Linked DNA regions of Saccharomyces cerevisiae S288C. The protein of the gene in region 1 purifies or fractionates together with the protein of each later gene. This does not show direct contact. Each region holds a gene or a part of one and is shown on either strand. Other genes may lie near its edges. The genes, in order: HAP1 and SRO9.

Region 1 (19,066 bases):
AACTGATAAGTACCTATTTATCAGTCCTAACCCCAGAGATAGATATCGCCTTGCAGTGCCGTATTAATGAAGAAGATTCTTTACGGTATCAAAGCGAAGTGCCATGAGATCGGCTTCACCGACAGAACAGACATGCAAAACGATGATAACTGCAGCTACACGAGAAAAAAAAACAAAAACGACAATCTCCAGGCGGAAAAAAAAGACCGAATACAACACAGCATTGTTTATATCACACTTTCCGTAATGATAATACACAGCGCAATATCTGTATTTTGTATGATCGAACTAATTGAGCGGTTCTTTCTTCAGCGCCTCTAAGTTTATTCGAAGAATTGCCCACTTGATTTAAGATATACGTTATAGCAGTGGTAACTTCTTTATACTTCTTGTTTTGCCAGCCAAAATAAAAAAAAAAAACAAGAAGTTACAATAGGCTAATGAAACTAAATTATAAAAACTTGTTCCTAAGACAATGAATTGTTCCCAATATCTTGATTTTATGGATTCTTGTTCTGTGTAAAAACAATGAGGGAAGGCCACCAGAGAGGGGTGATTAGGATCTTGGCGATATACACTTGAGGGTTGAGTGAATAATTGTTGAAATTTCATTGTTATCAAGAGCTATAATATTAGGTGTACGAATATACCAAGTTTCCCTCGAGAATAGAGAAATCCTCCAAGTGGAGTCGGTAAATCTACATAATAATATCACGGTTATTTCTCCTTCCGTTTTATATATTTCATTATCCCATTACATTATCAGTCCTTGCATTTCAGCTTTCATTAGTCTGATGACTGGTTCTCAATCTTTATGCCATCTTCTTACACTGTATATGATAATATACTAGTAAGATGAATATTAGTCAATAGACAATACTAGGCCTTCATTCCAACAGATTCTTGCTTCAACAGTAAGAAAAAGATCGAATATATGTGGTGAACTGGAGGTCTCAAAACATAGAGAGCAGTGAAAGACAACTGTTGTATTACGGGCTCGAGCAATACCGGGGTCCCTTGACAATCCTAATATAAACAGTCTTTGGGAAGTAACGAGTTGCCAAAAGGGATTATCAGCTTACGGAATGTTACTTATCTTATATATTATATAAAATATGGATCATACTTGATGGTGGAAGCGCGGAATCTCGGATCTAAACTAATTTTTCAGGCGTTTATACGTTTGGAAAGTTCAGTTAAGGAGGCGGAGTTTCATCTCATGTTGCTCATTCTGTTCGTTTTGCTATAAGGTTGTTTCATATGTAATTTAAGAACGTTTAGGATGATTATTATCATACTGACGTACCCCATTCTGAAACACAACAGACAACAAGAAAATTGGGCGTGTGGCGTAGTCGGTAGCGCGCTCCCTTAGCATGGGAGAGGTCTCCGGTTCGATTCCGGACTCGTCCAAGTAAATATTTTTTGCAACTTCTTCAACCTCCAATTATTATTCGATCATTACAATTCACCGATAAAATAACATACATGCTAAATAACTAAAATAATAATAATAAAAATATGTCCCTTTCTATTTATACATAAACAAACCGCATCACTCCCATATTGGAAAATCTGCTCTATAAAAATCTACTAGTCCATCTGAGAAATTTGTGGGTAATTAGATAATTGTTGGGATTCCATTGTTGATAAAGGCTATAATATTAGGTATACAGAATATACTAGAAGTTCTCCTCGAGGATTTAGGAATCCATAAAAGGGAATCTGCAATTCTACACAATTCTATAAATATTATTATCATCGTTTTATATGTTAATATTCATTGATCCTATTACATTATCAATCCTTGCGTTTCAGCTTCCACTAATTTAGATGACTATTTCTCATCATTTGCGTCATCTTCTAACACCGTATATGATAATATACTAGTAACGTAAATACTAGTTAGTAGATGATAGTTGATTTTTATTCCAACATACCACCCATAATGTAATAGATCTAATGAATCCATTTGTTTGTTAATAGTTTAAATGTTTTTATCGGAAGAGGTTTTGTCATCACATCAGCAATGTTCTTCTTGGTCTCGATGTAGTATACGTATAAATTATTACCTGATACTTCATCTCTAAGTCTCATTGCCTTTGTGCCAAAAAATCTGTTTCTAAATTTCTCTTCATTTGTAGACTTAATTATACTGATCGTTGATCTACTATCAGTAAGTAAGCCTTTAATAATTGGTTTCTTGTTAAGTTCTTGCACAAGGTGACTGAGGTTATTCAATAGCGGTATAGCTTCACTGACTGCGTGTATTTCTGCTTCTGTAGTTGAAGTGCATGTTAACGAAGCCTTTGTCGACTTTCCTCCAATCACTTTTCCGTTGAGTAGGAAAATGTTACCAATTTGTGACTTGTAATATGGTTGGTTACCATATGAAGCATCGCTTATTGCGACTAGTTTATTATCTGGCTTGGTAGGTTTGTTTTTGTGCCATATTAATTGTTTATCTCTAGTGTCCCACATGAATTGTATTAACTCATATGTCATGTCTAAAACTTGCCTAGAGGGGAATAGTATATGTTGAGCAAGTGTGTTGATGTAGTATAGTAAGTCAAATCTAAATTTATATCCAACATATGAAGCTAGACCAATCAACTTTTGCATTTCATGTACCTTCTCTTTGTATTCATCTTCATCTATTTCTAGTTCATCCTGGTCTATATAAAGACCTGGTTGACCTGGAGCGCTAAGTTTTCTTCCTTTTGGATTCAAAGGTACGTTTAATTTGGGTATTTTCTCAGTTAATGAGTTTTCCATACCTAATTTCATGTATTTACCTCTTTGATATTTGATTTCTAAGCCAAGTATGTCATATTGAATTTCCTCATCACTTTCGCCTAGATTTATAATCTTGGTGTCGTATTGCATCTTAAGCTTCTCTATAATTCTTTTGTTTGAATTTAGATTTTTGCTAAACAATACCATATCATCTACGAATAAACAAATTGTCACTTGACTGTTTTTAAATACGCATGACCATCCACGAACTTCTTCCATACCACATTGTTGTATCAGGTATGATTTGATAGTTTCGTACCAGTTCGCTCCACTTTGTTTCAATCCATAAAGTGATTTCTTCAAACGTATCAACTTATCATTCATTCCTAAATGTGGTGGAGGTCTTATGTATAATTCTTCTTTGATGTCTGCATACAAATATGCCGAAGATATGTCTAATTGTGTAATATAGTAGTTATTGTCTAATGCAAGTGACAGGGATGTCATTAATGCATAGTGATGTACGGTATTGGATTGCATGCCTGAGTCGTAAGTGTCAGGATGCTGAATATCACCTCTTGCAACAAATCTAGCTTTATGAGTACCGTCACGTTTCTTGTTGAAGATAAACATTGAGTTTATTACTCTTTTAGGGTCTATTTCTTTTCTGTCATAATATTCGTCAGTGTCCCAAGTTTTCATCTTCAACAGTTGATTGACTTCTTTGTGGTATGCCTCGATATATTTTTCTTTTTCTTTAATATCTTTATTATAGGTGATTGCCTCATCGTATCGTAAGGTTGTCCGTATTGGTTTGATTGATTTTACTGCTTTTACAGCTGCAATCAGGTGAATTCGTTTCTTCGATCTCGGAGGTTCTAAACTACGCATATTCTTAGTATTCCATGTGTCTCGTGATACCTTAATTTCAGTTTCATTATCTTCTAATGATCTTTTCTTACTGTTGATAGTAGTATAGGCATTAGAGTCACCAATACCACCCAAACTGGAATTAGTTTGACGAGAATTTATCGGTGGGAGTTCTTTAAATGGGTCAGGGAATTCGGTAGGAGATTCTGGAGGTAGATCAGGGAGTGGGAGATCAGCGATGATAGATTCCTCGGTATTCTGTTCAGAAACAGTAGTTGGCGTTTTGATAGGAACAATATTGTGCGATGAATTATTTTCCGGTGGAGAAGCATCGATTGAAGGTGAACGGTGTATAATCCTTTTCTCAGTCTCTTGGTCACTTATCTGCGGAACAGTTTTGTTGTTGGTACCACCCGTACTGGATATTGGTACGTTTGTATGATTAGTCTCATTTTCACTGTACGAGTCTGAGTGTCTGAAATCTTTAGATTTACTGGCGTGCGACGACTCATGTGTGTTAGATTGGGACATGGGAGCAAGTAAAGGAACATTTAATTTATGCATACCACCCGAACCGGTACTCTCGATATTGGAAATTTGGGGGGTGCTAGATCTCTTCTTTGATGGAAGAATATTAGATTCAGATATGTTGGGGTCAACTTCTCTGGGTGCGCGAATATTGGTTTTAGAAACACGTTTCGAATCTTCAGTATGAGTTGACGGAGGTGTGGAATCGGTTGGACTCACAGCTTTTGAAAGGACATTTCTCGGTTGCTCAGGATGTAGTTCAATGTCGGATTGGAAGTCATGGTCAGATTCTATGTTAAGATCATTGGATTCTTGGATCTCATTTGACGCAATGAACGAATGATATGAAGCAGTTAAACGGTTTAAGTCTTCATCGAAAGTGAGTGCGTCGTAATTGAATTGATCTAATCTGGATTCCTTGCCCTGAAGAATAACATAGTTAGTTGTATCTACTGTCTTCTTTAAGGACGGAAGATAGATGATATATCCATAAGAGTTTCGAGACGGATGTAGAGCGTAGCCTGGGATGCCACGAGGATGTATTTTGGAGTTAGGGTTGTGATCATTGACGATAACAGGTTGACCGAAAGGTAACAAAGTACTGATATCAAGTCCTGCCAAGCCAGCATGTTGTCTTGCAGATTTTTTGCTTTTAGGTGAAGCTAGTGAATTTCTCACAATAGTAGAAAATTCGATTGCAGAGAACCATAAATGGTTCGGTAAACCACTACATTGCAGTTGAGTACGGCAGTCATCTAATAAGGTACGGTTTAGCCGTTCAGCGACTCCATGTGCTCGGGAATCCGCTGTGGTTGTATAGCATGGAGTTATACCATTTTTTTTTCAAGGAATTTATGGAGAGTTCTGTTAGTATACTCAGAACCACGGTCCATTTGTATAACTAAGACACTGGCCTGAAACTGGTTTTTAATAAAAGCTAGTATCGTAGTAAAAACATCGAGGATAGAGTCCTCGCGACGGTCGTGTAATGGATAAACCCAACGGAATTTTGTTGTCTCATCAGTAAATGAGATGAAATAGGATGGTGCACTATTTGGTAGGTTGTGAACTGGACCAAATATGTCAGTATGTAGGTATTGAAAGGGTTCGTATGAATTTTGGTATTTTAGTCGTGAACCTTTGATATGTCTGTGTTTGGTGCTTTTGCCGATTAAACAATCAGGACATTGATAGTCAATAGCACTAGACCAGTCGACATCTGATTCGTTAAAATACGTGATGGTGTTATTTTTAAGTGAGTATCGAATTGTCTGTGCATTGGCATGCGCAAGCATTCGATGAATGAAAGGATAAGGATATTTGCGTGTACTTTCACTTGTATGGACATTATTGATGGTGGGTACGGAGATATTTGATGGAAGCAAGTACTTTTTAGATACCCAGTAAAAGTCTCCATATTTTACGATAGGTGCAAGTACAGTGCCGTCAGACCGTTCTAAGACGTTTTTGGTAAAGCATGCTGTGATATCTACTGCAGCCAATTCATTCAAACTGAGTAAGTCATAGGCTATGTTAGGAGTGTGCAATACCTTTATTGATGTTTTGGTGTTGTCCTGGAAGTGAAATTGTAGGTCACCAATAGCGTTAATTGGTATATTTCTTTTTTGAGCATCAACTACGTTTATGTCAGGATTAGATGATGCTGAGTGTATGTGGTGAGCAGATCTTATAAGGGTTCGTGATGCTCCTGAATCGAGAAGGAGGTGTCCAGGGAGTTCATCATCAGAATGATTAGTGTGATTTACCGTAGATTCAGTAAGTTCCTGGCCTAAGGTGAAGGTCGTGCTTATTGTTCAATTGAATCGGTTCAGTAGTTGATTTACTGATGGAATCGTTGTCCGTGCTGGGAGAGTTATTAGATGTGGATACATTGTGAGCCCTGGCTGTTTTCGATTTCGAATTATTTGTTTTTTGAGGATTCCGAGCTATAACTTTGGGTTTGGTTGTATTCGTATAGCTGCGAGAATCATTCTTCTCATCACTCAGATTTCTCCTGTAATTAGGTTTGCTGTTTCTCGATCCCTGTTGTTCTTCATAAATAGCATGGATATCTAAGAACAGTTCAGCGACTGTCATATTTAGATGTCGATGACGTGTGTAGCGTAAAAATTTATATTCGCCAGATAGACCTCTCATAATTAATTGGCATGCGACCTTGTTATTGATATGAATGCCATTATTGTTCAGTCTGTCGATAATGTTTGTGACTTTTGTTTCAAATGCATCTGCAGGTGTACTGCCATTATATTGCAAATTTGCCAGGGTCACAATGTCGTTTGCCTCTTGGGTATCAGATTGCATTTTTTCAATACTTTTGGAAAGAATTTTCATGATATCCGTATAATCAACGGATAGGATGTCTTTGACCCAGGTAGGTAGGAATTGAGAGGGAGCAAATATTTGAAAAGTGTTATACAAGAAGGTGAGTTCATCATCAGTGATCTGACGTACGGGTTTTCCGTTTACTGTCGGAATAATACCACCGAGATTCGAGTTTTGTAAAAATTTGATGTATGTTTTAACCCAATTTGGAAAGTCATTAGGTGAGGTTAACATTGGTGGTGGTCTGACATATTTTTTAGTGGATGTCATATCAGAGTCCGCTGAGGATGAATCAGTAAATGTATTACCTGACTCAGGTGATGGAGTGCTCAGAGGCGTTCCAACTGATGATGGATACTGCGGAAACTGTGATTGTGGCCCAGGTGGAAAGTACATAGGCGACATTTGATAAGGTGTATACGGAATCATAGATGGGTGTCCGTAAAATGACCAACCAGATGGATTGGCTTGGTTTTGGGTCATCATGCACTGCTGTGGGTACGGCCCATTCTGTGGAGGTGGTACTGAAGCAGGTTGAGGAGAGGCATGATGGGGGTTCTCTGGAACAGCTGATGAAGCAGGTGTTGTTGTCTGTTGAGAGTTAGCCTTAGTGGAAGCCTTCTCACATTCTTCTGTTTTGGAAGCTGAAACGTCTAACGGATCTTGATTTGTGTGGACTTCCTTAGAAGTAACCGAAGCACAGGCGCTACCATGAGAAATGTGTGGGTGTTGAGATAATTGTTGGGATTCCATTGTTGATAAAGGCTATAATATTAGGTATACAGAATATACTAGAAGTTCTCCTCGAGGATTTAGGAATCCATAAAAGGGAATCTGCAATTCTACACAATTCTATAAATATTATTATCATCGTTTTATATGTTAATATTCATTGATCCTATTACATTATCAATCCTTGCGTTTCAGCTTCCACTAATTTAGATGACTATTTCTCATCATTTGCGTCATCTTCTAACACCGTATATGATAATATACTAGTAACGTAAATACTAGTTAGTAGATGATAGTTGATTTTTATTCCAACACCATCAATTTCAACATTATCAACGGGTAGAAAATCAACCGCGTCATTTCTTCCAAGGTTATTAGGATCGTTGTATCCACCAACAACTTCTACCAGACTGGAAGGATTTATCATTAGCCCATTAAAGTTAGAATTTTGCATCAAAAAGTCTTCTAAGTCAGGTTTATACTGTGTAGCAGAATTGGATGCTAAGTCTGAGCCTTGTGGGCTTGTCAGTGTCGATAAAGCACTGCCGTTGGCACTTGTATCTGTATTCGCAGTTCCAGCTCCATTCATGTTCATATTCCCGTTTAAAGTTGAACTTGGAATTGTAGTATTAGCATTCATGAATGCACTTGTCATAGGCGTCATTTGCTTGATGGAGTTGTCAAATGCTTCATCTCTAGATGGGTCTGGCAAATTTATTTGATTAGTGGTGATCCTATCTAAAGATGGTAAAGCTCCCATTTGTGAAGTAATGTTGGTTAACGATGGAACCGTTGGAATGGTACCCCCGTTTAGCTGGTTCATGGAAAATGACGATAATAGTGGCTGCACCGATGATAGCCCATTTGAAGGTTTTGGGCTGATTCCTCTAGGTATATCGTTGTTACTATTATTATCAATATAGCCATCATTAAATCTTCTTCTCTTAGCTTCTGCCTCACCCGTTTCATTCATACGACGTAGATTACTACTTGTGTACGTGATAGGTTTGTATGATCTAATTGGTGGCAACTGGGTCCCTCCCATCCTAGCAGTAGAGCCCTGTAAGGACATGCCTTGCATCGGAGCAGAACCTTCATTAGCACCGGTTGGACTAACAAACCCCAGCGCATCTTGGTACACGGGGCATTTCTGTAATTGGTCTTTGTCACCAGCAAGAAATCCGCTCATGTTTGAAACCTTTGGATGTTTCCAATTACCCAACATGAATGAACTACCACCCGATTTCGAGTCTGATTTCTTTGAAGGTGTATCTAGTAAAGAGACAAAGAATCCAGTGGATTTGTTCATACGAATAGCGTAGTTGTACTTCTTTGATAGTTGTTTTGTTAGTTTTTGAAATAGCAGCATTCTTGACATTAGAATCTCTGCTAATGAATCGCCTGAATCCAAATTTACATCTTTCATGAAATCGTCTTTTTTCAATTCATCAGAAGATTCTTGTTTAACTTTGACGTCCTCATCTTCTACCGAACTATTAAATCCACTTGATGTACCATTAGTAATGATCGATGATTCACGCATACCAGTCAATGGGCCACATTTAGCTCTCAGGATCAAACAAACGATAAATTGTAAAGAACGATGTCCAATGTCCAAACAAGGGTAAGACAAGATAACATTCATGTAATCGAATAGTGAATTGGTGTTTCTGATATTGTTGAAGAAAATCATGCAGTTTCTGTAGCCATCCATGGCAAAATTTAATGCCTCTTGAGCGTACTCCTTAGCTAGGATATTAGTACCAGGATCTTCACTGCCCATTGGTTCATAATGAGTAAACAAAATGTAGTTCAATAAGTACAGCAACATTCTAATTGTCATATGCTTGGAAAAGAATAGAGCTCTCGTTGTAGATTCGTGAGGAAGGTCCAATTTCTTATCTATATCACTACTAGAAGTATTTCTTCCATCAGCATACAAGTTTTGGTTATGTTGACCATGGTTTAGAATATCGGGTAGTTTCGGTAGACCGTAAATTTCATCATTATTTGAATCTACAGAACCACCTTCCGAAGTTGGTAATAACCCTTTGTTGATCAAGGAGCTCACTACATCATTGACATTCTCAGTACCATAGGTCAGATTTTTCAATAAATTAATCAATGAATCCAGTTCAAATTTTCTCACGCTTCTTGCTAAAGAAACATTCAAAATGTGATTTAATACAGCAATAATACACAAATCAATTTGGAAAAAAAGAGTAAAATTCTTCACAATGATTAACTCTTTGATATCGCGAACATAATCAATCCTTGACGCACTTGGTAGCTTTGTATCGCTGAAATCCCTCAGATTTCTTAGTAGTCGAGGGCTCCCCAGGGAAAGAGATTGGTTAACATCCATGCTAACAATGTAATACCAAATTTTCCTCCAAGTGTGTTTAAATCTTTCGATACTAACCTGATTTTCCTTCTTGTTCACAGGGTTAGAACCACTTCTTGAATCAGCACTGCCAGATCTGCTACTGCTGTTGGTAGTGGCAGCAGACATGTTGTTATTCAAAGTTGGATTGGTGCTAGGGTTTGCCTTTTTGCTCCCGTTGTTAGACACGTCCTGGCTGGTTGCTGGAATGGTAGCGTTTAATTGAGGAAAATTATCAGGGTCTCTGTGTAACCCACAACTAAAGGCCATTTGAGTAATATTGGACAATAGGATCTGGTGAGACTCGGAATCGTGACCAGGATTGGCCATGCCAGTGTTGTTGGTATTTGTCAAGGTAGTCAAATCATTAGAGGCACTTTTCATATAGAAGTTGTAAAAAATGGCAAACTGCACCGTGGTTAAATTAACGTTGTTATTGGAAATACTAGAAAGTTCATCGAATTTAATCAAGTATTTTTGACATAGCTCCAGTGCCTCGACCGGTGTCTCATGCTTTAGCAGAAGTGATTCTTCTTTAGCCATCGAGGTCAATGCAGATGCAGACATATTGCTAGATTCGTTGGGCACTAAAAATGAGCCACTTTCTTCTCCCAGGTCGACTTCGCAGGAATTAGAAGGTATGGATAGCCATGTCAATCTCAAGATTATTATCAGAATACCTAAGTTACAAGAATCGGAAAGTTTTGGAAGATTGATTTGTGTTATGGGTTGGTTCTCTAGTGTAGATGAAGATGGCATGCTCATACCAAAGTTGTTAACTGTGGGATTCATCGAAGACAACGAAAGCATTTGATTCACGTGATTTTTGAAATTCTGTTCATCTAAGATTGGAATGGCAGGGTATAAATGTTTGAAGAATTTCTCGATGAATAATGCGATGACGCGCTTTGGTGGCAACATCTCACAAAGTGTTGCGAGGACTTCAGATTCTGTCATGTAGGAATCATGTTTCCTGCTTTGTGCGGGATGCGAACGAGCATGAGATCCGGACTGTGGTTGGTGGTGTGGGATGGTATTGTGCGTTGAAGCTGGTAAGGCCGCTGTATTTTTCATGCTTGAATGGTCAATGGGGCAACGACTTGCCGGGTTCGAAGAAGAATTTGCCATGTCAGAGGGATAATCCTTCATATAGTTTCTATGGTCCACAGGACATTTTGACTGAGGCGGATTCATTGTATGCTTGTTATGGTCTATCATAGCTTTAGTGGAAAATGGGGAAGGTGTCTCGTCCTTGGGCGGCATCATTCCTGCGGAATACATGGTGTGGTCAACGGGACACCTCTTCTGGGACGAAGTGTCCTCTCTGGGAGGAATCATTCCCGAAGAGAACATGGTGTGGTCAACTGGACATTTCCTAGGAAGAGGAGTCTCCTCCTTTGGGGCCACCATGCCAGACGAAAACGCGGAGTGATCAACAGGACATTTTCTGGTAGCGGCGGCAGCGGCAGAAGGCGGCGCTTGCGCGTGATTGATGGGACATTTGCTTGACTTCAGCTTAGAGTACGAATTTTTTTGGTAGTACCATTCATTTAACTTTTCCCTCATAGCGAAGATATGACCCCACAAAAGTTTTAGGTACGGGTCACCTTTCATGATAGACAACCAGTGGGTGGCACCTAAGTGGATGGTTCCGTTACTTTTGATATGCAAAAGATCAAAGTCCTTAGTTAAGTCCAGCTCATCGTTGTCATATTTATTTGAGATAGAAAGGGACGAGGAATTCGCGTTGGCGTTCGCACTTCTGGAAAAGTCTTGTTGTTGTTCCTGTTGCTGCTGTTGCTGTTGTTGCTGATGCATATGCGAGGCAGAGGAAGCAGAGCCTGTATTTGCATTAACAAGGGTGGTGTGTTCATCGCTACCCATAAACAGGTTGCTGCTCTCGGGAGTGTTGTAACTTTTCAAGGAGTTAGACGAAGGAGAAGAGTGCACCTTAGAAAGAGTCTTTTCTAAAGATTTTACGCGCTCCCTAAGCTTCTTTAATTCGTTGTCCTTCAGCAATTCTTTCTCTGCCTCTTCTGCCCAGGTCTGTTCCATGTAGTGGCAGAGATGGGCTACCCCAGTTTTAGTGCACTGCTGGCAGTGTGGTCTGAGTTTGTCACATTTGACTTTCCTTTTCCGACAAATGGTGCAACTGAGCGGAATTCTGTTACGCTTCCTCTTGATCTTGGACGAATCTGAAGACATGTGCAAGGGTGGAGAGTTAGAGCTGGTGTTGGCACCGGGCGTAGTTGCTGTATGCATGTTAGGACTTCTTGAGACCGAAGACTGGGTCATGGATGCAATGGAAGGCACAGATGAATTATAAGGGGTATTCGACATCTAACCTATTGTTCCCTTTTTTTTTTTTTCTTTTTCTTCTATTTCCTTACCTTCTTGCCTGCGACTGGAGAAAAACTAAAAGGCCAAATTGAAAGGGAAGAAAAATTTTCTGCGAAAACAAAACAAGATGCTTTGATAAAAGGAAGTTGATGGAATGAGGTTCGATGAGATGAAATCAGATACAATTTTGTGCAATATCTTCAAACCTTAAAAGAGCACTGCAGGAACCTATTCTTTGGGAGAACAATAGCGTCTGTGTGCTTGCGGTATCTTGAGTTGTGAGTCTCAAATGTGTGCTTTGCATCTCGAAGAATAATAGAAAAAACCGAAAACCGAAAAAAATTGTGCCTCAAGAGTATATCCGATATATATGAACGCGATCGAGTTACCGGGGCCGTTGCTGGTGCCGTTGCCTGGTATTCTAAACGAGGCCGCGAGGGTGGATTTCGCCCGACGGGTGAATGGGTGTGGGTGGAACGAGGATTGTATCGTTTAGACAGCCGAATTATTACCCGGTTACTCAACAAAAAGGGGCAAGCCAGACAGGTGCAGTGGCTCAGCCGTACAGCTCGTACTGTGGTTTGCTAATGCGCTGGGCGGTTGTTGAGATAAGAAGAAGAGGGAAAGGGAAAGGAAGAAAGAGGAAGAGAGAGAGAGAGAAAGGGCACACGAAATTCAGGATACGGCGGAGGAGTTATCTTTATTTTATACGGTCTTGCCTTGTAAGGCCCTACTCAAGCGGGAACAAGAAAAACAGTTGTAGCTTCCACAAGATGTTGGCTATAGAGATTGTTCTGTGCTTAAAGGCTCGCTAATCAATATTTCTTGAAGTACGATTTCTGTGTGTATAGATTCTCCACAATTGTTTTTCTTAGTGAGGCTCCGCCACGATCGCGTCTTGCCATCATCGTCCATCCATGGAAAAGAGCTACAAAAAACGACTGCTGGTGTACATACAATGCTCTGGGTTTCGTACATTTGCTTACTAAGTGACAGAAGCGTTCATCGATCCTTCGAAAAGGGTAACAGCGGAAAAACAGGAAATATTGGCTACATACTATAACTCAACAACGTATCATGAACTATTCCGCATATTCGTAACCTTATTTGTAGCGCAGTAAAGCCGCTAAAGAGGTCTTCTCCTATCGGATCTTGCTTTTTTCTTCCTTTTTTTTTTTTTTTTACAATAGAACAATAAAAAAACTGAACGTTCTCTATATCATCTGTGACGGCAAGTATCAATTATTTTATCAATTAGTTTGCAGAATCGGGAAAATTAATAACATTAGAAATGAAAGTTTTCATACATAAATTTGCAATTAAGGATGAAAAAGAGGGATAATAAGGGCTACAACAAACCACGAACGGCCGAAAGAACAATCCTCGCAAATTTAATTGGAATATCCAAGGGACATATACGTGCAACAATTGCGACTTTCCTATGGTGCCGAATTTGGATTTGGAAACAGCTATACAGATAATCTCCTCACTGGAGACCCAGTTGAGCGAGCTTGAAGGCGCCACGAAAGAATATGAAAATGATTTGGAACAAGTAATATCAAAGTTAAAAAGCGATCTTCTTGAGAGCCAACAACAAAATAAGTGCAATAAGAAACAGATAACAGATTTAGAGATACAGGTAGATGAGTTGGAAAATGAAAATATCCAACTGAGGAATAAGATAGAGACATTACAATTGGAGAGTGACCGACGACTGGAACGCAACGTTCTACTGGAACACGAGTTACTCGACACCAAAGAGGCGCTGCAAAAGTTAAGAGTCAGCAAAGAAGAAGCCACTAGCGGTGAGACTAGAAGGAACACCAGGTCGTTACCCAGTCAAAATAAAAAAATGAAGTTGTTTAAGGATACTATCAAAGTCTCGACCACATCTTCAACCTTGTACTTGCAGAACATGGCAAAAACTAACAACGCTGCAAGAAGTCACTGTAATATTCCAAATACCCAAATAACACAATCCACTGTGATAGCAACAACGTCTTCCGTTTAATGACACATATAAAATTGTTATATATAATTTTACGTATATATTTACAAGTAGAAAGAACGCTAACGATTTAAGATGACAACCAAGTCTTCGGAATAAATTTTTTCCACCACAACACAAAATCATAAAAATACAATTGATTAATACGCCTCTCATAGACTATCCAGTTTGTCAAGTTCTCCCACATCCATTTAATAGACCACCTCGCATACTCCGAATTAATTCTTTCCACTTTTTCGTCGTAGACCGTCTTGGCGCAGTATTGCGTCATGATCAGGAAAGTCCTCTCTGGCCCGAGTGGATTCTGTAGACATTCATCAAGATGTCTGGTTAGGTCGTTAGTCTTCAATATCAAAAGCACTACACGAGGGATTCTAGACAAAATGCTCATCAAGTCGCTCAGTAACGTTCCTTCCAAGATCCCATTTGCCATGACGTCCATTTCTTCTTGTGTTCGACTCGTTGAAATGTCGTAATTCAAAGCAGCATCAATGCTACGGCCCGTAATTGCAGCCGCTAAAAGGGGAAACTGTTCGTCGGTGATGTTTGCGAATCCTTTGGCATACTTCTTCATTTTTGTCTGGTCCTTGTCGAATAGGAGCGACAACCAAAATTTGGCATAAAGTCTTCTTGTTCTCGTGCTAGGATATCTATAGAGTCCGTGGTCAAATAAAACAATTTCAAAGTTATGGTATCCATTATCTTTAGCGGGCTTAACAGATCGTATGGCCAGATTTCCTCCATGAGGATCACAATGAATACCTACATTGGGAGTAAAAATCATGTTATTGAAAATATGAGAGAGACAACTCGAAACTTCACTGCGCGAGATACCGTGACTGTCAATGTACTCCAAATCATCCAACCTTTTGCCTCCAACATATTCCATAATCAAAATTCTTTTGTGGCTTTCAATGACCTTGGGTATTTTCAATGCTGTTTGCTTCTTGAACTTACTAAAATAATGACGGGTTTTTTCTGCATTTTCAGCTTCTTTGGTAAAATTCAGTTCCACGTAGATTGAAGACTGAAGCTCATCACCAAGCCACGTTAACGGATAATCAGGGAAGAAGACATCCAGCAGTTCAAACACTGTTCTTGTCAGCATAACATCTAATGGTATAAACTCCTTCAACGATGGATGCTGACATTTGACAGCTACACTAGAACCTTTACCGTCACTATTTTTTAGTTTTGCCACATGAACCTGTGCCAAGGAAGCTACACCTATCGGGGTTTTGTTGAATTCTAAAAACATATCCTCAATGCTGGTGCCTAGATCTTCTTTAAATAACTCATCAATTTCTTCGTAGGTGGATTCGGGACAGTGGTCTTGCAACGGTATCATTGTATCCGTCCATTCTTTAGGCAACAGGTAGGTCATGGCCCCAATGTGCTGGCCTAATTTGATATATATCCCACCATTCGATCGTAGCGCATGCAACGTGATTAAGGCACACATCTTATGACATTTATTTAAGGCAACTTCTCGTTCTTTTTTGTTCTCATAGCTTTTATTTAGAGCCCTCTTGTAATGGTAGAAGCAACGAGTGGTAGCTTGTGTGACGACAGCGATTCTTTTAGTCGTCAGTGCCGTGTGCTTTACAGAATCATGAAAAGTGTCATTAAAGTTGTACAAAACTACTGCTGATGCAATAGTCCCACCCACCAGAAGAGATTTTCTTGTCCTGGGGCTTCTTTGAGGGATGCTTTTACCTGTCCTAACGTACCGACGGAATACCTCAAACGGTAGTTTGTTAAAAAAAGCTTTGGTCATCATCTACTATCAACACCGAATAAGAAACATTCAACTATAATCTTGCTCCGTTTCAGGCTCAATAAACTTTCAGACTGATTCTTTCCAGTTACGAAGGTAGGAGTACAATATGCATACATAACGCAGCGATTTACAAGATATGTTCCTCGGGTCTATGTTTTGACCTCTTTTAACGGCATATGAAAAAACCTTTGAAAAAATGAAATATTATATAAAGGTCCAGAACCCACAGTGGTACTAAAAGGCCCACTTAAGTCTCACACCTAATTAAACACCTTTGCATAAACGGTAGCTGAAGAACAACAGGCATGACCGCAATAGTGAAATGTTAGCTACTATTTCCTCTATAAAAGAAGTACGAATGTAATTAAATAAATTGTTCCTGACCAAGCACATCTGTAAAGGAAAAGCAGATTGCTAGCCAACTTTGGTGACTCAAATATTTATGAAGTTGGTCTGCTCTCTGCCGAAAGTCTATTAGGTATATGCTGTTCCAGTACCCCAAGGAACAAGGTCTGATAAATATGCTAGTTGAATTCCAAATATTTTCAAAATCAGGATTTCTTATCCAGTTATTCGACCACGGGTGGATAATGAACAGGTACCTTGTCTTTCTCCATAACCTTTGAGTTTTTATAAGATAAGTAAGTGTTCCAAAATATTGCAACGACATTAACAGCTAGTAACCTATGTTGTAAAGGAACAACAGAAAAGTTAATCGCTTGGAAAAGTGGCCAAACTGCCCAATTAGTCAAAAGTGTAGGCCACCATTGCTCTTTTATTTTCAACTTAGCTACGTCAAATGATCTACCTTCCATGATGGACATACAGGTGAAATAAAATGGCAAACCTAGCGGCGCAAACGCCAATTGATCGACAGCTACCCGTAAAACCATATTAGACCAGTGGTACTGAGGTCTGTTACGCATATAAATCTTGTTGTTCAAGATCTTGTACCACTTGTCACCTATAAAGGAGAAAATTAAAGAACCATAGATGACAGCCCTAGCTGTCCTTTTATAATCATAACCCTTGTTTACTTTGGATGTTGGAAACAACAATTGAGCAGAAACATCACCAATTCCAAATAGCGCACCTGTCATTATCGCATTCGTAGTTTTGGGCCTTCTCTTCAAGCTCGCTTCATATAAATGCAATAACTTCATACTGTTTTAATATCAATTCTATCTTTCCTATAGTAATAACAAAAGACTGTGTTTGCCTTTTCCCTTTTGTAAGGCTAAATATGACAACATAGCATTCAAATAGCTCTTCTATCATATCACTATCATAGATATTTCCATTTTTTTTTTTTTTTCACTTTGTACTTATACTGTTAAAGTTCGACATTTAAGGGACAAGGAGGTGCCACTGTTTCCCGAAACGCTTCTTGTTACCATCGGAGAGAAAAGACCAATACATACGTAATTAGAACATAGAAAATAGAACGTTTAAAGTAGATAGTTAATCACAAAGGAGAGGCATCACAACGATGCGATGGTAAAAATATATTTTAAGTGCTTTGATTACTTACTACATGCTAATTGACTACATACATAGTGTCTTGAATATTTTCTCAGTCTCAACTATTCATCTTGACCAAGTCCATTAAAAAATTCCATTTTTGAATTTCTCGGGAATATTTTTCAGCTCTATTCTAGACTCTAGTTCGTCATCAGTTATTACAGTAGCTCTAGAAGCGCCTCTTTGAATTTCTTCTTCATGTTCAATTTCATGTTCATGATGAAGCAATTCATGTTCTATGTCTTCTTTGTGAACGACTTTAACGTCTGGATCTTTGTCCTTATGAAACTTATTCCAGTGATGAATTTCATATTCTAGCTCAAAATCGGAGTGGTGACCTACACCAACGCCAAGGTCAGGGAACTTGTTTCCTCTCTTAGCAAATTGTAGATATTCCTCCTTGGTGATTTTGGTATTATCATCAACATCCAATAACCTCATAATAAGGCTAACAACACGCTTAGCCATTTCATTGTCAATTTTCTCAGATTCATCGTGTTGTCCCATACCATCACCAGCCCCCACAATTTCTTCACGGTTCAACCCGTAGAGAGATAGAATATCGTTTTCATCTAAAAATCCTTTCTTCTTGATATCATGTAACGCGAAGAAAGTCTCTGGAGTGTAATCTTTTAGCTGATGCTCATGGTCCATATGCCACTCCTCCCAGGATAAACCATCAGGTGGTGCCTCATTTTCCACATTAATTTCAGATCCTATTTCTGCCGTGGCAGTTACTTTATATAGAGTGAAAGCCAAAGAAAATACAAATCCCCTCAAAAACCTCATTTCCACAATTTTAATAGAACAGGGATGAAAAAATTTTAGGTCTTGGCTCTTTTATCTTTTCTAGAAGGAATATAATATTACGCTCAATCATGTTTTAAAGCTTCCTAGTCTATGATCCGTCACCTATTTTTATTCTTCCAAAAAAATATTTTCGTTACCCTCTTACCGAAAAGGGTATGAGGCAATGCTCAATTTGCCTGAGCTTAAGAATGTATGAAAAAAAAAGATGTCTGACTAATGGAACGCTTTTTCTTTTAAATAATGCCTTTCTTTATAATAAGGAAGTTGCGTCTATATTTTACCAAAATAAACAATATTACAAAAACATAGAAATTAAAATATACATAAATTATTGATCAATAAAAATCTTAAAGAAAACTGTGAAAGCAGTGATCAAAAAGATTAGAATTCTTCGTCAGAAGAAACGTAAGCATCACCCAATTCCTTCTTCTTCTTCATTCTTTCCTTCTTCTTCTTTCTCAATTCCGCAGAAGACAACTTCTTCTTCTTCTTACCACCGGCAATCTTGTTACCCATAGCATCGAATTTATCTTCTTCGTCTTCCTTCTTTTCGATTCTTGGACCAGCACCTTGACCACTAACCCAGTTGTGACCAGATGGAGTCATTCTACCGTCCTTGACGGCCCAGACTTCTTCAGTCAAGTTCTTTGTGAATTCAGCAGAGTGAGTAATGATAATAACACCACCTTCAAATTCCTTCAAAGCCTTAGACAAAGCACCCAAAGAATCTCTGTCCAGATAGTTGGTAGGTTCATCTAAGACAATCAAGTGAGGTCTTTGCCATGTACCGGCAGCTAAGACCAACTTAACCTTTTGACCACCAGACAAACCTCTAATTCTGGAGTGAGAAACAATTTCTGGGTCCAAACCCAACATGGAACAATGTTCTTCAATTTCTTTTCTGGTTAATGGACGGAATTGACCAGAAGCCAAAGCTTCCTTCATATCAACTTCAGCAACCATCTTAGAGTGAGATTCAACCAATTCACCTCTTGGAATCCAAGCGTTGTCGACG
Region 2 (11,113 bases), on another chromosome or scaffold:
TATATATATATATATATATGTATGTCCATACGGGTTTTTCGTTTTGTTGTGGTTGTAACAGCACAACAAAATGCTACACGGTGGCAAATTGGAAAAAGAGACTAGTGAGAGAAAAGGGAAAAAGAGGCGCCGCCCGACAGGGTAACATATTATCACGTGCAGCCCAGGATAATTTTCAGGACACGTGTTTCGAAAGGTTTGTCGCTCCGAAAAAATCAAAAAAAACAAAAAACGGGAAATAACAATAACGACAAAAATGGAAAAAAAAAAAATTTTAGACGCGGCGCTTGCACCCCGCATTATAAGTGGTGTGCCGACGGACGGTCAACCCCTTTCAGGGGGCCCCCTATCTTGGGCGTGGTGTCACACCACGCTCAAACGGTGGGCACTAATGAAAACGCGCCCATATAAATATCCGCTATCAACAGAACCCCCAACCCCCCCATCAGTGCCCAACTCAGCTTCCGTAAACCACAACACCACCACTAATACAACTCTATCATACACAAGATGTCATTCGACGACTTACACAAAGCCACTGAGAGAGCGGTCATCCAGGCCGTGGACCAGATCTGCGACGATTTCGAGGTTACCCCCGAGAAGCTGGACGAATTAACTGCTTACTTCATCGAACAAATGGAAAAAGGTCTAGCTCCACCAAAGGAAGGCCACACATTGGCCTCGGACAAAGGTCTTCCTATGATTCCGGCGTTCGTCACCGGGTCACCCAACGGGACGGAGCGCGGTGTTTTACTAGCCGCCGACCTGGGTGGTACCAATTTCCGTATATGTTCTGTTAACTTGCATGGAGATCATACTTTCTCCATGGAGCAAATGAAGTCCAAGATTCCCGATGATTTGCTAGACGATGAGAACGTCACATCTGACGACCTGTTTGGGTTTCTAGCACGTCGTACACTGGCCTTTATGAAGAAGTATCACCCGGACGAGTTGGCCAAGGGTAAAGACGCCAAGCCCATGAAACTGGGGTTCACTTTCTCATACCCTGTAGACCAGACCTCTCTAAACTCCGGGACATTGATCCGTTGGACCAAGGGTTTCCGCATCGCGGACACCGTCGGAAAGGATGTCGTGCAATTGTACCAGGAGCAATTAAGCGCTCAGGGTATGCCTATGATCAAGGTTGTTGCATTAACCAACGACACCGTCGGAACGTACCTATCGCATTGCTACACGTCCGATAACACGGACTCAATGACGTCCGGAGAAATCTCGGAGCCGGTCATCGGATGTATTTTCGGTACCGGTACCAATGGGTGCTATATGGAGGAGATCAACAAGATCACGAAGTTGCCACAGGAGTTGCGTGACAAGTTGATAAAGGAGGGTAAGACACACATGATCATCAATGTCGAATGGGGGTCCTTCGATAATGAGCTCAAGCACTTGCCTACTACTAAGTATGACGTCGTAATTGACCAGAAACTGTCAACGAACCCGGGATTTCACTTGTTTGAAAAACGTGTCTCAGGGATGTTCTTGGGTGAGGTGTTGCGTAACATTTTAGTGGACTTGCACTCGCAAGGCTTGCTTTTGCAACAGTACAGGTCCAAGGAACAACTTCCTCGCCACTTGACTACACCTTTCCAGTTGTCATCCGAAGTGCTGTCGCATATTGAAATTGACGACTCGACAGGTCTACGTGAAACAGAGTTGTCATTATTACAGAGTCTCAGACTGCCCACCACTCCAACAGAGCGTGTTCAAATTCAAAAATTGGTGCGCGCGATTTCTAGGAGATCTGCGTATTTAGCCGCCGTGCCGCTTGCCGCGATATTGATCAAGACAAATGCTTTGAACAAGAGATATCATGGTGAAGTCGAGATCGGTTGTGATGGTTCCGTTGTGGAATACTACCCCGGTTTCAGATCTATGCTGAGACACGCCTTAGCCTTGTCACCCTTGGGTGCCGAGGGTGAGAGGAAGGTGCACTTGAAGATTGCCAAGGATGGTTCCGGAGTGGGTGCCGCCTTGTGTGCGCTTGTAGCATGATCTTTTTACATTTTTTTGGTTTGTGTACGTATCCCACCGTACTTACCATCTTCTCTCCTTTATATATATATATATATATGTATATTTTCAGTGTATATACATACATTCTTATACAATACCGTATAAGAACGTATGTATGTATGTATGATTTTCTCACATTAATGAACAATATCATCGGAAACGGGCCTTTGGTTTTTAAGGGAAAATGAAGAACAATAAATGCCTTGCTAGGTCTTCCTTTATCATTTTTGGAAGTCAAATATGAAAAACACTTCCAAGGGGGCGTACTACTTCAACTAATAAAATGTCACACACTAATAAGATCGCATACGTGTTGAACAATGACACGGAGGAAACAGCCTCGCCCTCTTCCGTTGGTTGTTTTGACAAGAAACAGCTCACTAAATTACTGATACATACTCTAAAGGAGCTGGGCTACGACTCCGCCGCTAACCAGTTACTGCTAGAGAGCGGCGGATATCAAAATGAGTCTAACCACATCCAGACTTTCTTCAAACTCATCAAGACCGGCCAATTCCATCTTATTAATTGGCAGATTGTTTGCTCGCTGCCCCTTGCCCATAGCTCTCCGCTAAGGTCCGAATGGCTTCAAAGGCTGCTCATTCCCACGCCGACGCCCGCCACGACTTCACTTTTCGACCACATGCTCCTGCAACTGCAATACCTGCAACAGCTGATGAGCTCTGTAAATTCATCTACTTGTTCGGACGCAGAGATCGCCACGCTCAGAAATTACGTAGAGATCATGATTCTAGTTAATAGACAAATATTCCTCGAATTCTTCCATCCAGTCACAAATTCCGCCTCTCACAAGGGCCCTCACACTGCACTGCCCGTCCTGTATTTGCGCAAAATCCTCAAAAACTTCATCGAGATATGGGATTCCCTGCTGGTGTCTAACGATCAGTTCCTAAATGAAGAAAACATCTTCAATCCGGAAACGACCTTGAGAGAACTGTCGACGTACCTGACCAACCCAAAACTAACCGCGCAGTTGAACCTCGAGCGAGACCATCTGATTGACGCCATCTCCAAATATATCGATCCGAACGAACTCGTTCCCAAGGGTCGTCTCTTGCATCTCTTGAAACAGGCCATCAAGTATCAACAATCACAAGACATTTTTAATATCATCGATCCGGATGATGACGCCTCTTTCTCCTCTCCACCCCACCGGATCAACCTTTTGCAGGATAACTTCTCACACGATCTGACTGTGACCTTTCAAGAATGGAAGACTATCCAAGACACCACAGACGAAATTTGGTTTTTGACATTTTCGCCCAATGGCAAGTATTTGGCTTCTGCGACTTCCGAGTCTTCAAGAGGCTACTTCATTACTGTTTATGATGTGGAACAAGACTTCAAAATTTATAAGACTTGCGTGAGCTTGTCACAATCCGTATTGTACCTCATGTTTTCTCCTGATAGCCGGTATCTGGTTGCTTGCCCTTTCAGCGAAGATGTTACCATTTACGACATGAATGCCACCTCCCTGCCCGATGCGTCTGCCACAGACTCGTTCCTACTATACCCTTCTACCAGGCTCTCGCCCATGGACTCGTTTAAACTGGACACCACCACGTACCCAGATGATACCGAATCATCAGCATCATCTTCCTCGAGGCCGGCAAACGCGAATTCTAATCAATCAAGAGTATGGTGCTGCGATGCCTTCCACACTGCGGAACGTGCGGGCTGGATGGTGGTTGGATCGCCCGACAGAGAAGCTATTGTACACTCACTCACCACGAAAGAGTCACTTTTTAGCTTAAAAGGCAGGACTTGTATCGCGTTGGGCCACGATGAAAACATCTCTGGGAGAAAATCAATCGATCCTGCAAAAGTCCTTTACAAACCAACAAGTAGCAATGGTAACTGGCAATATGTGGAGGACGACGAAACCTTTCCACGTGTGCACGACGTGAAAATCAGCTATGACGATAAATACGTGCTTTTAATGACCCACCAGGGCGTTATAGATGTCTACGATTTCAGTGGGTTCCCCTCCAAAGAGGAGCTATCTAAGCAAACAGTGGATCCCAAAAACTTTCTGATTCCAAGGATCGCAAGATTGGACGTGGGCAAAAACATGACTTGTATCTCATTACCGCTAAATACCACGCATCAAGGCTTCCATAGGCAACAAATATCCGAGTCTCAACATTTGGTATTAGTTAGCCTTCAAGATAACGAATTACAAATGTGGGACTATAAAGAAAATATTCTCATACAAAAGTACTTTGGACAGAAGCAACAGCACTTTATTATCAGATCTTGCTTCGCCTACGGTAATAAGCTTGTCATGAGCGGATCAGAAGATGGTAAAATTTACATTTGGGATAGAATTAGAGGTAACCTAGTATCTGTTTTATCCGGTCATTCCACGGTAATGAGTAATTCCACAAAACCCATGGGGAAAAATTGTAACGTAGTTGCATCAAACCCTGCAGATAAAGAAATGTTTGCTTCTGGCGGTGATGACGGTAAGATAAAAATCTGGAAAATTTCAAGAAATTAATACTCCACCTTATATATATACGTAAGCAAAGTTTTATGTAACAAAAAAAAAAAAAGAACTAATCCAACCTTCTTTCACTTTCAGGTAAAACTTGACTGAGTTCTTCAGCCTCTCTTCTACCTCTCTTGACATCCAAACAGTTTAGCACAGGCAATGATAGCATCAAAAGCAAAAAGAAGAAATAAAACGAATAGCGAATATTATGCGTTTTATCGGTAAGCAGTCCAACAAGGAAGGGTCCCAGGATGGACGACCCCTTATCTGTGATACTGAACATACTAAAAAACGTGGATTCTTTTCCTGGAGGTACAATCAAACTGAAAACTGATCTTGAAACCGCGGACAGGCCACCTAGTGATAATCCATACCAAATGGCCAATAAGAACATTTCAAACTTATGCTTTAAACCGAACGCATTGAAGAAAAATCCAAGAATACCATAAAATGGTATGAAACTTGCCCAAATGATAATGTACATCAAAGTTTGACTAGAAGTCCACCGAAACTTTGTGGCAAGAAATTGTGGAATCATAAAGGCACCCAGCATTGCATTTACAACGGTCAAAACACTTATCATGATTAAATTGAGGGTACTCATGTGCAGTTCTGCCTTGGAGAACAAAACCGCTGTAGAATTTATAGTTGTAATGGAATCACTAATAATAAACCACGCAATAAGAAAAATCATCACATCTTTCAATAGTCTGGCATGTTTAAACGATTCGAAAAGCGAAACCCAACCATATGAAAGGTAATTCTTCCAGTTTAGTTGACCCAAGGCGTCTTGCTCACCGGGATACGGACTGCGGGCGGATGCTAATGTAGAATCGTCAACTCTTATCGGTATTGTCACATCGTCAATCAACCAGATCATGGGCAGTTGCCACACAAACCACCAAATCCCAACGAAAAGAACAGCCACTTGAACATCCTGCTTACTGCCCTTTTTAGATGCGACTAAGAACATAGATACAATCTGAACAATGAGGGCACTTGAATAACCTAAAGATGCACCTCTACCGCTAATAACAGTAGTTAACGAGTCTACCTTATCAGGTTCATAAGCTCCTTGACTTTGACATTTCAAAGAATCCTTGACAAAAATGGGCAGAAGAGAATTCCCAACAACATTGATAACGCCAAAACAACCATTGGCCACTATATAAAGCCCAGCCAGAGAATAAATCTGGGTATCATTCAATTTTGAAATCGCAACAGTCGACAATGCGCCCACAATACCAAACCAAACCAGAATTCTGCCTTTGAATTTAACGCTCCCCCAGAGATCTACTATCCCTGAAACGGAAATGACTATTATAGTTTGGAATAAAACGCTAAGGGAAAAGACATATAATGCAAAACTTGAAGTATCTACGAAGATCCGATTGTTGAACAAACCAAGAACACACTTATCTGAATCACTACCCGTTTCTGACAGGCAGGGTATGGAGTGATCGTGAACTTTTACACCATTTATACTCGCAAATTGCTGCAGTAGTAAGGGAATATACGTTGAAACCGCAGAAACGACAAATGGTTCGCTAGAAAATGAGTAAGCGTACCATCCCTTGATATTGTTTTGGGCTTTTTTTATTCGATAGTTCGTTACCGATTCATTCATATCATTTATAGTTCCATAGCTCATATCTAATGTAGAGAATATGTTATGAGCAAACTATTGCTTATAAGGGCAAAAACCGTGGTAATATAGGTACAGTTTGAAATCTTTCCTTTTGTTTACACTACGCATCTTTCAATAGCTGAGGTATTTTCGTTTAGGAAAATACCGTTTTAAGGAATTAATTTTAGCAATTTCCTAAAATTGTTGAGCGGCGCTATCAATGCCGCACAATACAACAATTAATAATCTAAGACACGTTGCATTATACATGACAGAAGCTAAAGCATGGTCTTAGATGACAATAAAAAGGAATTTGACAGCACAAAAGAGAAAAAAAAAACTATACATAAAATTTTTTACATATGAATTGCTTAGAGTAAAATAGGCATTTTTCATATCTTCTTCCCAATTATTAAATTAGCAAAAAATTGAATAAAAAAAGCAGGTGGTTTAAGAATTGCGCAGGGAGAAGAAAGAATATCATATCTCATGATGGTAGCCACTTAGACAGAGAGAAAACGAAGTGAGAAGAGGCTAGTATTTTTATATCTTAAAAAAAAAAAAAAACAAAAAAAAAAAAACATAAATATTTGTATCTTATTGCTTATGATGATAATGTACAATGAATTCAAAACATGAAAATTGTTCAAAGTTTTTATTTTTATTTTCTCTTTCGTATTAAACTGATGGAACAAATGAAAAAAATGGATAAAAAAACAAAAAAAAAAAAAAAAACAAAAAAAAAACAGCTTTGCTGGAGGATGATTAACTTTTAATTTTTTTAATTATTAGGTTTTTCAATTTTTTATGGTTTTTTGTGTAAAATGCAATGAACGAATCCATTTTTTATTTTGCAAGTGTGAGAGGCCTTTATAAGGAAGACTCGGATTCACCGGCAGCAACCGGCGCAGAGTCTTCTTTGGTTTCTTGTTCTTGAGAAGCGAGTTCAGTGGATGATTCCTCTTCTTGTTGAGGAACAGGTGGTAGGGATATCATGAATTGGTCCAATGCATCGCCGACCAGTTCTTTTTCAATATTAATTTCAGTTTCAAAAGTTTCTGGTAACCAGTTTGACCAGCTCTTGGAACGAACGAAGTACTTATCCAATGGAGATGGTTCTTTGGCTTCACCGGTAACGTTATCACCTTCCTTGGCGGCCAAAGTACCTTCTGCAACATTGACGGTAGCGGCTTCGTTAGCGACAATTTCTCTCAATGCGGCTAAAATCAGGTTAGTGTCACCTCCGAAGGACATGTTAACAACTCTGTAAAACTTAGAGATTAAAGACAATGGAGCAAAACCATCCTTGGAGAGTTTGGACCTTAAGTAATTGTCGACGGTCAAGTTTTCTTCGCTGAAATAGTATTCAATTTGTCTAGCAATGTTGTTGATGGCCATTAACACTGGTTGGACTGGATAAAACTGTTGCTGTAATTTGACCATAGGTTGTTGAGGATGTTGTTGGTTGTGATGGAAGTGGTTGTGGTATTTAGAGCGGTTGTTGTTGTTATTACGAGCGTTGCGTCCTTGGTAAGGTTTAAACTGTGGTGGGAAGCCTTGGTTCTGAGGCATACCGGCGTTATTACTGTTGTGGAACTTTCTCCTTTGAGGACCATTGCTGTTATGGTGATGACTGTGGTGATGATTACGGTGGTGAGGTGGTTGTTGCTGTTGTGTAGATTGACCATTTTCTTGAGAGGTAGCGTCTTTTGAATCTTCCTCACCTACTGCCGATTCAAAGCCATCTTTCTTCATTTGTTGTTGCTTCTTAGCATTATGTTGGTGATGCTTCTTTTTCCTGTTAGCATTACTCGACGATGTCGACGATGCTGCAGTTTTGTTGTTTTTGCTCTTGTTGCTGTTGCCATTACTTGCACCATTCTTGGAACCGGATCTTTTGGTGCCAGAGACGGTAATGGAGGCCTTGATGGGAACCCACTTGGTAGCAGTCGATGATTTCGGAGTGGGTGTTCTGTTCTTCTTCTTTCTTGTGGCATCCAAGTCTTCTATTGAGATAGTAGAAACAGGGATCTCAGTAGGAGCAAGTTTCCATGGGGAAGATGTGGGCAATGGTGCCGGCGTCAAGTTGACTTGCTTGCTCTTGGAGCTCTCTTGTTCTTGCACTTCTGGGACTGGGGCAGTAGCAGTGTTTGCGGCGGCGGTTTCAGCAGACATCGTGGGCAGAGAAGTGAAAAGAAGATGAAACACGTTAGCAGGTCCAGAGTAATCCTGATGTTCTATTACCGATCTAGGATCCCAAAAGATCTTCATAAAACCGAAAAAGATGTTAAGAAATGTTTACACTTGTACTTTTCTTTCTTTGTTCTTGACCTACCAGAAGTGAAAAAAATTTTTCATTGCGTGGGTACATCCGTGCACCATTTCTGAAAAATTTGCGATGAGCATCCCTCAAAATCCGTATTATCCGCTAGTGTTTTGAGGTTCAACAAGACAACATATAAGAAGGGAAGAAGGAAAGGAGGCAATGAGAACTTGGGTCTTGCTCGAGAGTCCAGATCCACATGCAGGTTCAAAAAATGGTGAGAGATAACAGTAATAACGGTAGCGATAAAAGCGTCCATTGGGAGAGGAGGAATAATAACGGCGCAGGCCCCCGTTATCGTTCCAGAAGCGGTAATACCGGTGCTTTGGCAACAAAACTAAGTAATGGGACGCTCTCTGTCAGAGGATTAGTGAAGGACCGAACAGGAAGCGGCAAGATCGCGGGCTGTGTGGAGGCGTTTCTGGATGCCAGGACCCAATTGAATACGCCCTGGGACCGTGCTAAGTGCAATTGGCTGGACCAGATAGATTACTATGTACAGTTGAGAAAGACCGCGTTTTCTAAGGAATTGGACCAACTAAGGAAGCCCATGATCGATGCATATGTGGCGGAGATGAGGCAGAAGTTTGATGCCTCCTATGGACAATCCAGGGCGCAATTGGAAGCCAAACTGGCGCAGGTGGACAGTGAATGGCATATGGTACATGGTGATGTGCATGCAAAACTGGAAAAACTCGTGGAAGAACGCCGGTTTTTGAAAAGATTAAGCGACACGATCGTACCACCCAGGTCCAAAAGATCACAGCGGCTGTCTCCATTGACCAAAGAGGACCGAGCCAACTGTATCTGTCCGCAGCCCAAAGGAATGAGCGACACCGCTTGGTTCGAAGCCATTCAGAAGAAAATGTTAGGAATGAATGGTACCATCAAGCTCCTAGAGACAGAACAGAAACTACTGGCTGACGAGAAAAACAGCGTGAGGAAGACGTTCTGGCCCATGGTGGAAGCACATTCACGCTCGAATGAATTTGCTTATCTGGAGAAATGCATCAGGCTGATGGCCTCTCAGAGAGCAATATGCTTTTGTCTTGATATAGAGGCTTTCGAAACAAACCAGAACGTAATCACCGAAATTGGGATTTCAATTTATGACCCCAGGGAAAATATGGTGCCGTCAATGGTTCCAATTACAAAGAATTACCACCTAATTATCGAGGAGTCCCTGGAACTTAGAAACCAAAAATGGGTCTGTGACTACAAGGATTGCTACTTATTGGGAGAAAGCTATGTTTTGAGCTTGAAAGAGTGCGTGCATTTCATTCAATCACTAATAAACTATTACTTGGTCCCGGTGACCGAAGAAGACAAGACATGGTCAAGGGCATTTGTTGGTCATCACGTGAGCGGGGATCTTAAGTGGCTGGAGACTATTGGTGTCAAATTCCCTGGCAGAGGGTATGAAGGCCATCTGGACCATACGCTGCTTTTGGCTGAAACTCCCGGTGATCTAGACGTGTTCATCTTGGACACTGAGCAGTTTTACAGGAAATCGTATGGCGAAAAGGGCAGCAGTCTGGGCAAGATTCTGCGGTTGTTCGAGATACCGCATGCGTTTCTACACAATGCCGGTAACGATGCCTACTATACCCTGCATTTGTTCATGAAGTTTTGCGATGTTAATTTCAGGAAAATAAGCGGCATGGACGATGTTCTTAAAGTAATGGGCCAAGTAAAAGTTTGGGGAGAACGAGACGTACGAGAGCCTAAAGTGGTGCCCATGTCGTATGCCATCTCCATCGAGGAGGCAGTCAAAAATCGGACGTACCGCAAGGGCGTCAAGAGCAGTAGGAAGGAAAGAGTCTGCCAAACGGAATTCGGTGGGTTAACGTATTTCGGAACTGCTAAAGACGCCTTCACAAGCACTCTTCCGACACACTAAATATATTCATCGATTTTTTTCCTGTAAATACAAACACATGCTTGTATACATATACATATACATATATATAAGCTCATTATAAACCTGTGTGCATGGAAAAAACTTTGTCTGCCCTTAATTTGCAAGAATAGGTTCTAACAATTCCTCCAATTCACCAGTCTCCCTCAATTCCTGCAAGTCGTCGTTGCCTCCAATATGTTTACCATTAATATAGATGTTTGGCACGGTTCTTTGGCCATTAATCTCATATAACGCAGCCTGAATGTCTGCGCCTTCCTTCATGTCATTCAATTGCAAAACCAGAACTTTGGACCTGGGAACCTTTAACTTTTCAAAAAGCGTGTTTAGGGCTGCATGGCAGTATGGACAGTACGTTTTGGATGCGACGAAGATCTCGTTTTCTGCAATAAGGTCCTTGACGTGCTTGATAGTTTCTTGAGATACCATTTTTTTTCCTTCTGAGGTTTTGTCTATTTGTATAATTATGCGAATGCTCGTATAAGTACTGCACGAAGTTCTTTATTTTATGCTAAAGTCCCTTTTTATATTATATAAACTTTTCATTTATTTTATATATTTACTCCTTTCAAGACAAAATTCCCACATCACGTGAATCAGGAGGCGCAAGGGGGGTAGTAAGGCAGTAGTAGATAAAGAAAACAAGCATCGCAATCTGGAAACGCCGTTGCGGCTGCTCGTTATCTGTAGACAGCT

What was found.
Region 2: the proteins of HAP1 (region 1) and SRO9 purify together in Saccharomyces cerevisiae (affinity purification with western blotting; 2 studies listed by BioGRID). This does not show direct contact.

What each region holds. Positions count from the first base shown.
Region 1 is NC_001144.5:639,281-658,346, reverse strand, and holds HAP1 (Hap1p), read right to left. Parts: upstream 11,933-19,066; coding exon 7,424-11,932; downstream 1-7,423. Other genes in the region: YLR256W-A (gag protein), read right to left, coding at 5,908-7,230; YLR255C (uncharacterized protein), read left to right, coding at 12,394-12,747; NDL1 (Ndl1p), read left to right, coding at 13,374-13,943; CQD2 (Cqd2p), read right to left, coding at 14,011-15,720; SYM1 (ethanol metabolism protein), read right to left, coding at 16,290-16,883; nucleobindin SSP120, read right to left, coding at 17,326-18,030; YEF3 (translation elongation factor EF-3), read right to left, coding at 18,433-19,066. UniProt on the Saccharomyces cerevisiae protein: Regulation of oxygen dependent gene expression. It modulates the expression of Iso-1 (CYP1) and Iso-2 (CYP3) cytochrome c.
Region 2 is NC_001135.5:50,328-61,440, forward strand, and holds SRO9 (Sro9p), read right to left. Parts: upstream 8,352-11,113; coding exon 7,047-8,351; downstream 1-7,046. Other genes in the region: YCL042W (uncharacterized protein), read left to right, coding at 257-616; GLK1 (glucokinase), read left to right, coding at 511-2,013; glucose-induced degradation complex subunit GID7, read left to right, coding at 2,318-4,555; ATG22 (Atg22p), read right to left, coding at 4,614-6,200; GFD2 (Gfd2p), read left to right, coding at 8,699-10,399; dithiol glutaredoxin GRX1, read right to left, coding at 10,514-10,846. UniProt on the Saccharomyces cerevisiae protein: May overlap in function with tropomyosin and may be involved in organization of actin filaments. Acts as a multicopy suppressor of RHO3 mutation. RNA-binding protein which may modulate mRNA translation.